Canis lupus familiaris: one gene and its partner. The protein of the gene in region 1 interacts with the protein of each later gene in a pairwise test. Links are inferred from orthologs where the notes say so. Each region holds a gene or a part of one and is shown on either strand. Other genes may lie near its edges. The genes, in order: TROAP and DYRK1B.

What was found.
Region 2: the proteins of TROAP (region 1) and DYRK1B interact in binary tests that used the Homo sapiens proteins (3 or more experiments, as listed by UniProt). The link is inferred for Canis lupus familiaris from reciprocal best matches to the Homo sapiens genes TROAP and DYRK1B.

What each region holds. Positions count from the first base shown.
Region 1 is NC_049248.1:41,359,077-41,363,589, forward strand, and holds the start of TROAP (tastin), read left to right. Parts: upstream 1-1,671; 5' UTR 1,672-1,824; intron 1,825-2,073; 5' UTR 2,074-2,084; coding exon 2,085-2,228; intron 2,229-2,332; coding exon 2,333-2,516; intron 2,517-3,031; coding exon 3,032-3,189; intron 3,190-3,309; coding exon 3,310-3,447; intron 3,448-3,641; coding exon 3,642-3,724; intron 3,725-4,213; coding exon 4,214-4,266; intron 4,267-4,513. UniProt on the Homo sapiens protein: Could be involved with bystin and trophinin in a cell adhesion molecule complex that mediates an initial attachment of the blastocyst to uterine epithelial cells at the time of the embryo implantation.
Region 2 is NC_049222.1:114,429,287-114,433,530, forward strand, and holds the start of DYRK1B (dual specificity tyrosine-phosphorylation-regulated kinase 1B), read left to right. Parts: upstream 1-1,251; 5' UTR 1,252-1,408; intron 1,409-2,455; exon of another isoform or gene 2,456-2,489; intron 2,490-3,437; 5' UTR 3,438-3,538; coding exon 3,539-3,601; intron 3,602-4,244. Other genes in the region: FBL (rRNA 2'-O-methyltransferase fibrillarin), read left to right, coding at 481-626, 736-760.

The DNA of each region.
Region 1 (4,513 bases):
GAAAGAGGCAGTGAAGTTGGAAAGCAGAGAACAAGACGGGGAGTGGGGAAGAGGAACAGTCAAGGCACAGTGGTAACAGGACCAGATTTGCAGTTTTGGAAAGATTGCTCTAGCTGCCCTGTGGCGAAGGTATTAAAATGGAAAGCAAGAGGGAATGGAGGGTGGGAGACTCTTCCAATCCACTAGGCTAGGTTAGGGTGGATTAGGGTGTCTGTGGTGAAGAGGAAGAGTAAATGAGTCCTACAGATACAAAAGTAGTAAGAGTGAACGAGAGAATGTAAGGGAACCAAGGAGTTCAGAATACCTCCGGGTTCTTGGCCTGAGTAATAGAACCCGCGGAAGTCAGGGACAGTCCTACCAGAGTCCTGTACACTTGTAACCATCACCACTTTCCCATGTTCCATTGGAGGTCACCCCTCCAGTCTAACCGGGATATTCTAGGTTCCCTCAGTTTCACACCCCTGCCTGCCAGTAACAGTGACACCGTCTTCCCTCTTCCATGCCTGTTGAGTGGAATGAGTTCCAGTGACGCTGTCTGAGTCTGTGAAATGGAGACCACGCCTGACCAGGCTGTGAGGCTCCTGTGAGATGGTTGGGTTATTTATTTAAAATTTTGCTTATTTATTCATGAGAGACACAGAGAAAAGCAGAGACACAGGCAGAGGGAGAGGCAGGCTCCCTGCAGGCAGGGAGCCCGATGTGGGACTCGATCCTGGGAACCCTGGGATCACGACCTGAGTCAAAGGTCGATGATCAAGGACTGGGCCACCCAGCCGTCCCTATTTATTATTATTTTTAAAGATTTTATTTATTTATTCATGAGAGACACACAGAGAGAGAGGCAGAGACACAGGAAGAGGGAGAAGCAGGTCCATGCAGGGAGCCCGAGGCGGGGACTCGATCCCAGGTCTCCAGGATCAGGCCCTGGGCCGAAGGCGGCGCTAAACCGCTGAGCCACCGGGTCTCCCCTATTATTATTATTTTTAAAGATTTATTTATTTACTTGAGAGAGAGAGAGAGAGAGAGAGAGAGAGAGAATCGGGTTGGGGGGAAGCAGAGAGTGGGAGAGAGAGAAAAGAATCTCAAGGGGAGTCTCCCCTGGGTGCAGAGCCCCACGTGGGGCTGGATCTCGCCACCCGGAGATCGTGACCTGAGCCAAAGTCAAGAGTCGGAGGCTTAAGCGGTTGAGCCCCCCAAGTGCCCCAAAGATGGTTCATCATCGTTGGGCTCAGTTCTATTGCCTCCAGCCCTCTCCATCCGTTTGGAGGCGCTTCCTCCTCCCAGGCACCAAGTGGAAAAGACGTTTCTTCTACGCGTCTGCAGCTGCGTCCCCTGAGCTCGCGCCGCGCTCGGGTCAGTCGGGTGTGGGGTCGCGCCCGCCGCCGGCGCCCTCGGCCTCTCCCGCACCGCCCGCCCATCCCGCACAGCCTGGACCGCTCCTGCTCGGAGCAGTCCCGAGACCTCGCGAGAGTCGGCAGCGCCCGTTGTGGCCGGGACTTGGAGGGCCACGCCTTCCCAACCTCAGAATGCCCGCCCTCTTTCTCTTTTCCCGCCCCCCTCCCCGCGCTCCGCTCTCCGATTGGCTGGCTGAGTCGGGTCAGTTTTTTCCTGGCCGGAGAGCGGCTCGACCACCAGTCCTTCTTCTGGCCCCGCCTCCGGAGCCCGTGGATTGGACAGCTCAGCCAGGTGTCACGCGCCTCCGGGGAGCGCAGAAGAGCCAATCAGGGGCTTGGCGTATTTTACAAACTGGGGAAGTAGCTGCTGCTGAAGCCAGTCAAGAAAGAGCGAATGAAATCGGGGTGAGCCGCGGTGGCTCCGAGGAAGGTGCGGCATGGAGATCGTAGAGGGAATGGGGGCCGCGGGGCTCATAGGGAGGAGAGGCAGCTCGGGGTCCTGGAGCCGAAGAGTAGAGTCGGGGTATCTGGAGGGAGGGGCTTCCTGCAGCGGCCTTGGAAGCATCGGGTCTTCTGGGCGCATGGGTTTGGGCGGAGGTGGGAGCTTCAGGAAGGTCGGAACTGATGCTTCAAACTGGCTGACCTTTGACCTGAGGTCCTGTTTCCCTCCCCACCTCAGCTGTAGCAGTCATGCCCACCCTCCAAGCCACGAAGGATCCGCTCCCCAGGGGCGTATCTCCCACCCCTAGCAAGATTCCCGTACGCTCTCAGAGACGCCCGCCTCTCCCCACAGTCAAATCCTGTGTCCTGGACCAGGAGAACCAAGATCCAAAGGTAAGAGGGGGTCTGTGGGTGAAGACAGTAGCTGCAAGGAGACAGCTCATGCCACCAATGCGCCCCAAAGCTGAGCCCCAGCCTTTTGTCCTCCCCTCCCCCAGAGATTGGTGCAGAAGTTCAGTATTCAATGCCCTGTCGACTCAGCAGGCCCCAGGCCGAAAGTCACACATCAAACAGAGAAATCAGAGAGATCACTGGGGAGCACTCAGCTCCGGAACCCCTTGGAGGAACTGAGGCCTAGCCCTGGGGTACAGAATGTGGGGCCTAAGCCTCCTCCCCAGACAGGTACCCTTTGGAGGCTTGAAAACACAGTCTCTTTGTGTGGGTGTGGGGGAAGGGGATGATGCATCCAGTGGGATTTGGGAGCTTTCCACTAACCTGGTCTCCTGCCTGCTCTGAATCCTGCACCCTGCTCCTGGTAAACTCTCTACTCCTGGAAGCCCTCTCTTTCCTTTAGCAAAATGTCATCTCTTCTAGAGCCTTTCCAGCCCCCTTAGTCACAATCAATTCCTCTGTGTTCTAATACTTGGCAGTACTTCTTTCATAACACATCCATGCCTTGGCTTGAGCCTGTCACCTCACTCTAGTTTGATGGTAACTTCCCGAGGCTGGGGGGTTTCTCATTCCTCTTTGAGCCCCAGTGCCTAGGATCGTGTCTTACATAAAGTTCCATGAACTTCGGTGAACTGAGTTCAATAATATGAGTCTCTTCAGCTCACTCTTGCACCACAAGGTGACTGCTGACTCTTCAGCCTTCCTCCTTCCTGTTCCTTTTCACCTTTCCTTCTCTTCTCTTGCAGAGGCTCCAGGGACTGTAGAGTTTGTGGCCGACCCTGCAGCCCTGGCCACCATCCTGTCAGGTGAGGGGGTTAAGAGCTGTCTCCTGGGGCGCCAGCCCAGTCTGGCTCAGAGAATACTGGTTCGAGGGAGCCAAGGAGGCACCACCCGTAGGGGCCAGGTAATAAAATAGACTATGAGGAGGGATAGAGGTCCTTAGGGCTGAGGACAGAACAGTGGCTGGTGTGGGCCAAGGAGGGAGTCCTGAGCTTGGGCTAATAGCCTCTTTTTGTGGTGTCAGGGTGCCCGGGCTTCTGCATATTTAGCCCCTAGAACCCCTGCCCACCGACTGGACCCTACCAGGGCTTCCTGCTTCTCGAGGCTGGAAGGACCAGGACCTCGCAGCCGCACCTTGTGTTCTCAGAGGCTAGAGGCTCTGGTGAGTGCCCTTGAGGAGCTGATGATGCTCAATGCTTCTGGGAGCTCCTCCCTGGGACAAAACTGGGCCTTAGGAGGGAAGATACCTCCTGACGAGCCAGAGGGGTTGTGGAGGCTGATGGGGCTGATGGTGAGGTCTGAAGCTTCAGAGCCCACCTCTGACTCTGCTTTTTTCCTCTTGCTCCCGTGGGTCAGATTCCACCTTCAGGACCTTCCTTTCACCCCTCTACTCACCCCAGTTTCCAGGAGCTGAGAAGAGTGACAGGTGGCAGCAGCCGGTGAGGGGGGAAAGGATCATTTGGAAGAGAATGATCCAGTGTCTGATTCAGGGTTCTTTCCAGTAGCTTTAGGACTTCCTAGCAACCCAGGAGGGGAAGGGGGAAATATGTGGGTGCCCAGGCTGAACCCTTGGAATAGGGTTCAGGCCTCTACGGCCAACCTTCAGTATGACATCAGTTTTTTCAGGTTGTGGGGGAAGAAGAAACAGAAATGAGAAATACTATCTCTTTTGTTTAGTGGCTAGAGCATAGATGATGGCAATGAATGGGATTTGGGTTTGACTCCTAATTCTCAGCACTTACTAGTGTAAGCTTGCCTTAACCTCCAGGTTTCAGGTTCTTTCATCTGTCAAATGAGGATAATTCTTGTATTGTTAGAGATTGTTGCACAAAGACTTACATGAGATGATGTTTGTAAAGCACTTAGCAAAGTGCCCAGCTCATACTTGGTACTCAGTGACTGCTAGTTGCTGTCCTTATTGTCATCAGGACTTCGGTGAGCCAGACCTCAGGATTGCTCCTGGAGACCCCAGTCCAGCCTGGTGAGTGTGTCCAGCCATGGGAAGAAGACAGGAGTAGGTGGGCTGCCTAAAGTTGGGAGCAAGACAGGAGAAAGCTCAGCAGTTGGGGAAGGCTGCATGAGGGGAAGGCCATGTCGGAAGGAGCCACAAAGGAAGGGATCCTGATAGGCTAGAGGTTGCCCTGTTGTACTTGTGTCAAAGGAGGTGGTCCCCACTTCAACCCTTTCTCTGCCACTTTCTATAAGATTTACCTTCCACTCACTGTTCT
Region 2 (4,244 bases), on another chromosome or scaffold:
CTCTGCCTCTCTCTCTCTCTCTCTCTGTGTGACTATCATAAATAAATAAAAATTAAAAAAAACAAAACAAAACAAAACACCATCAGGTCAATAAAGTGTCCCTAAGATGTGTTTGTTTTAAAAAAAAAAAAAAGATCTTCAGCCAGATTCACCATTTGTTAGCCTTTTGCTCCATTTGTTTCAGTATTCTCAGCATTGTTACTATTGTTAAAGAAGAGGAAGTAGAAAAAACAAACACAAAAACCTGGGTGTAAAATTTAAACACCAGCTTTAAGACAGTCTCTGTTGAAGCCTTCCTGTTCCAAATCCAAACCAAATTGAAAACTTCTCTAATGAAGTCTTTCCCTACATTTCCAAAACCTGAGTTTCACTGAGTTTCCAATAATTTAAAAAAAAATCTTTTTTTTTTTTTTTTTTTAAAGAGCAACAAAAAGGAAAACAGTCCAGTGCTTTGCTTATAAAATTCAAATTCTTCTGCAGGCCAACTGCATTGACTCCACAGCCTCTGCTGAGGCTGTGTTTGCCTCTGAGGTGAAGAAGATGCAGCAGGAGAACATGAAGCCCCAAGAGCAATTGACCTTAGAGCCCTACGAAAGAGACCACGCTGTAGTGGTGGGTGTGTACAGGTGAGCAGGGGCCGGCAGCCCACCTGGACAGAGCCCTGCCAGTCAGCACTTGGAAGGAGTGCCCCAAATGGTGACAAGCTCTGAATCTTCTATCTCCTTCCTCTCACAGGCCACCTCCCAAGGTGAAGAATTGAAGCCCGGCGCCATCTGGATTACCAGAGATTTGTGTTGCTACTGTTACACGTGTTTTTCTATTAAAAGACTCATCCAGGGGCACCTGGGTGGCTCTGTCACTTAAGCCTGGGCCTCTTGATCTCAGCTTAGGTTTTGACCTTAGGGTCGTGAATTCAACCCGGCCTTGGGCTCCTTGGGCGTGAAACCTATTTAGGAAAAAAAAAAAATTCATCATCGCTCCTGTATGCTGATCAGAGACCTCCGTTCAACGGTGCGCATGCGCCGTTTTTCAACTGGCGCGGTGGTGGGGGTGGACCAGCTCATCCGGTCCCTCGTGCGCATGCTTCTCCCTTGGCTGCTTTTTGCGCAGCCGTAACCCGGCTTCCGGCGCCTGGGCGGGGCTGATAGCTTACGGTGCATGTCTGCCGGTAGACCCTGCTGCGCGCAGGCGCAGAATGTTACCTTGGGTCACGTGGGGGAAGCGAATGGGGGGGGTGGGGGCGGAGCCCGGGGCGGGGGGGGCCGGTTTGTTGTGGTCGCCATTTTGCTGGTTGCATTACTGGGTAATCGGGCCCTGGCTCGCCGCGTCCGTCGGATACCTTCAGCCAGTGGGCAGGTCTGAGCTCGGGCTTCCCGAGCAGCTTGAGTCCCCTTGCCCGCGCCCTCAGGTAACAACGCGGCTACAGGTGGGGCGGCACGAGCTCGCGGGGAGGGGGCAGTACGGGCCCGCCCTGCCCGCGTCGCCGCGAGACTTAGCACGAGGCCGAGGGAGCAGAGCAGGGGGGCGGCGGGCAGGTGCAGGCCGTGCCTGGCTATTCATAGTCGGATTCTAGGAAGTGGCCGAGCCCGAGGGAGCAGCCTTGGGAGGGCGGCTGGGAGGGGGTAGCGGGGCCCGGCTCCCGCCCTTTGTTTGGGCTCGGCTCCTCCGGCTGCATCGTCGTCGCCTAGCAACAGCTGTTCTGAGCTGCGATTGGCTGAGCTCTTGGCAGCAGCGGCCAATGGCACGGTTGTTGCCATGGCAGGTGCGGACTGCCAAGCTCAGGCCGGCCCCGCCCGCCGGGCTCCGCCGACCGGGGCGGGCCTCCAGGGTGGGGGGCGGGACGCCTGGGTCCCCAGGGGCGGGTGGCTGCGCGGGGCGGGGCCGGCGGGGCGAGGGTTAACCCGCCCCTCCCCCGTCCACCTGCTTTCCCCTTCCCCCGCGTGCCCCGGGCTGACCCTCGTTCCCTCCTCTCCCCGCCCCCGGCGGCGGCGGCTGCTGTTGTCACCCACCCGGCCGCCTGTCCCGCTTGCCCTCCCCGCCGCGGGGCTTGCCGGGCCGGCCGGGCCGGGACAGGCGGCCGTCTCCTCTCTGCCGCCACCGCCGCCATGCTGGCCGCTCGCCCACCCCACTGGGGGCCCCACCGCGCCCCAGCCCCCCGTGGGCCCCGCGCCAGCCCTGACCCGGGTAGGGGGTGGGTGCTGGGAGAGACGGTCCTGCTGTGGGAGGGCCCCAGGGAAGAGGTTGTTTCGGGTGAGGGGCGGGGGAGCTCCGAGAGAGAGGAGGGATCGTGGAGTGGCAAGGCTTGGCATAGGAGAAAGGGATTGACATGGGAGAAGGCCTGTGGGGAGAGGATTTTGGTGTGGCAGGTACTCTGGGAGGGGAGAACTCTATGTGATATTCGGGGATTTTGGTTTCTGGGGGCCTTCTAGGAATGGCACAGGTGTGGATTGACCCTGGTGTAGAGAGGAGTAACTGGAGAAAGAGCCCTGGTAGGAATATTGGATGGGGGGAGGAGGGAAAGATACAGTGTAGGGGAGAGAAGGGCGAGGGAAGAGACGGCTCCTCCTTGCTCCCATCAGAAGAAGTGAGCCTTGATTGGGAGGGGGACCACGGACTAATATGGGGAAGAGCCCTTTTGTGGCACAAAGAAACTATCTGGTGGGGAGGGTCCCTGATGTGAGAGGAAATGGTATAAGGATAAGGTCTTGGCATGATATGGGGAGGGTCCCCTGGGAAGGGGGTGCCCTGATGGATGAGAATGCCATAGGGGTAGGAATTTTTTATATAGGGACAACTCTGTATAACAGGGTAACCTTGGTATGCTCTCCAGGACCCTGATGTGGTTTTAGGGGCCTGCAGAAGACTCTGCTATGGGTGTGGAGGGGGCCCAGAGTTCTCTTGTGGTTTGGGGGGAGGGGAATCCTAGACTTCTCTAGGATCTACTGGGAAGGGTAGATCTTGAAGTGAAAGGACCTTGCTGTGATAAGAGGTGATCCTGACAATCAGGGAAGACTGCAGGAGGGCAGGATCTGGTGTGAGGGGGCCCTGGGGAGGGCCATAAATAGAAATGGGAAGCAAACCTATACTGTCTGTGGTTTCTATCTTTCTTCTCTTTCTCACCCCAATTATTGGTGTCTTTTTGTCCTTTCTTGTCATGGCCTTTATCCCTGCCTGGCTTCCAATCATTCCCTTTCACATGTTCCCCTCTTTGTGCCACCTACTTCATTTATTTGGTAATCATTTGTTGAGGGACTCTGCTGTGCCCCCACCCCCACCCCACCATTTTTCACTGTCCCCTTTCTTCATTGCCACCTGTTGTCCTTTTTCTCCTCTCCCTATGCCCTACCTTCTCTCTGGTGTCCACCTCTTTCCCACCTGTCCCTGTCCCACACATCTTCTTGTTCCATGTTGTTCCCCTGCCTCCCGCCTGCTCTCAGGTCTCAGCGGCGGTGGCAGCCGAGGTGCAGGATGCGAGAAGGCGCCCCCCGGCCGGGCTCCCGCTCCAGGCCTCGCTCCCCTGCGGCCCTCTGAGCCCACCATGGCCGTCCCACCGGGCCATGGTCCCTTCTCTGGCTTCCCGGGGCCCCAGGAGCACACGCAGGTATGCGTTCAGCTGGCTCCTCACATGCCTGGGGTAGGGGGAGGCTGGGGATAGAAGGGTCTTGGGGCCAAAAGATTATTTGGTTGCCCAGAGCAGTCTCCTGGGGCCATGAAAAGCCCATCTGGAGTGGAAGATAATAGAGAAGTTGGTGGCAGAGACTGTTTGGATAGCCTGGGTTCAAATCCTGACACAGGGTTAAATTACTTAGGTTCTACCTGCTTCAGTTTTCTTTCTCTTAAAATGAAGCCAAGAATGATAACTACCTCGCAGGATAGTTGTGAGGTTAAGCAAGTTAATGAAATGCATGTAAAATGCTGAGAATAGTGCCTGGCACCTAGGAAACACCCAGTAAATGTTCACTAAGGAAAAAAGGTCCAGAGTGAAAGATGGGCAGTTGGGGTGCAAGGGGGAGAAGTCTGAGTCCAAAGGATCCTGGAGCCAGCAGCATCTTACACTACAGAGTAAAGATATTCAGGGGTGGAGACTGTCAGGGCTCTGAAATGTAGAGCTTGAAGCAGGATGGAGTAGGAGGTGCCAAGGTGCTGGCTCCCAAAAGACTGGGGCAAAATGTGCAGAGTTGGGGGTGAAGGATAGGAAGATACCACAGGATAAGGGTAAAGCAAGATGGCAGCCCTCAAGATGG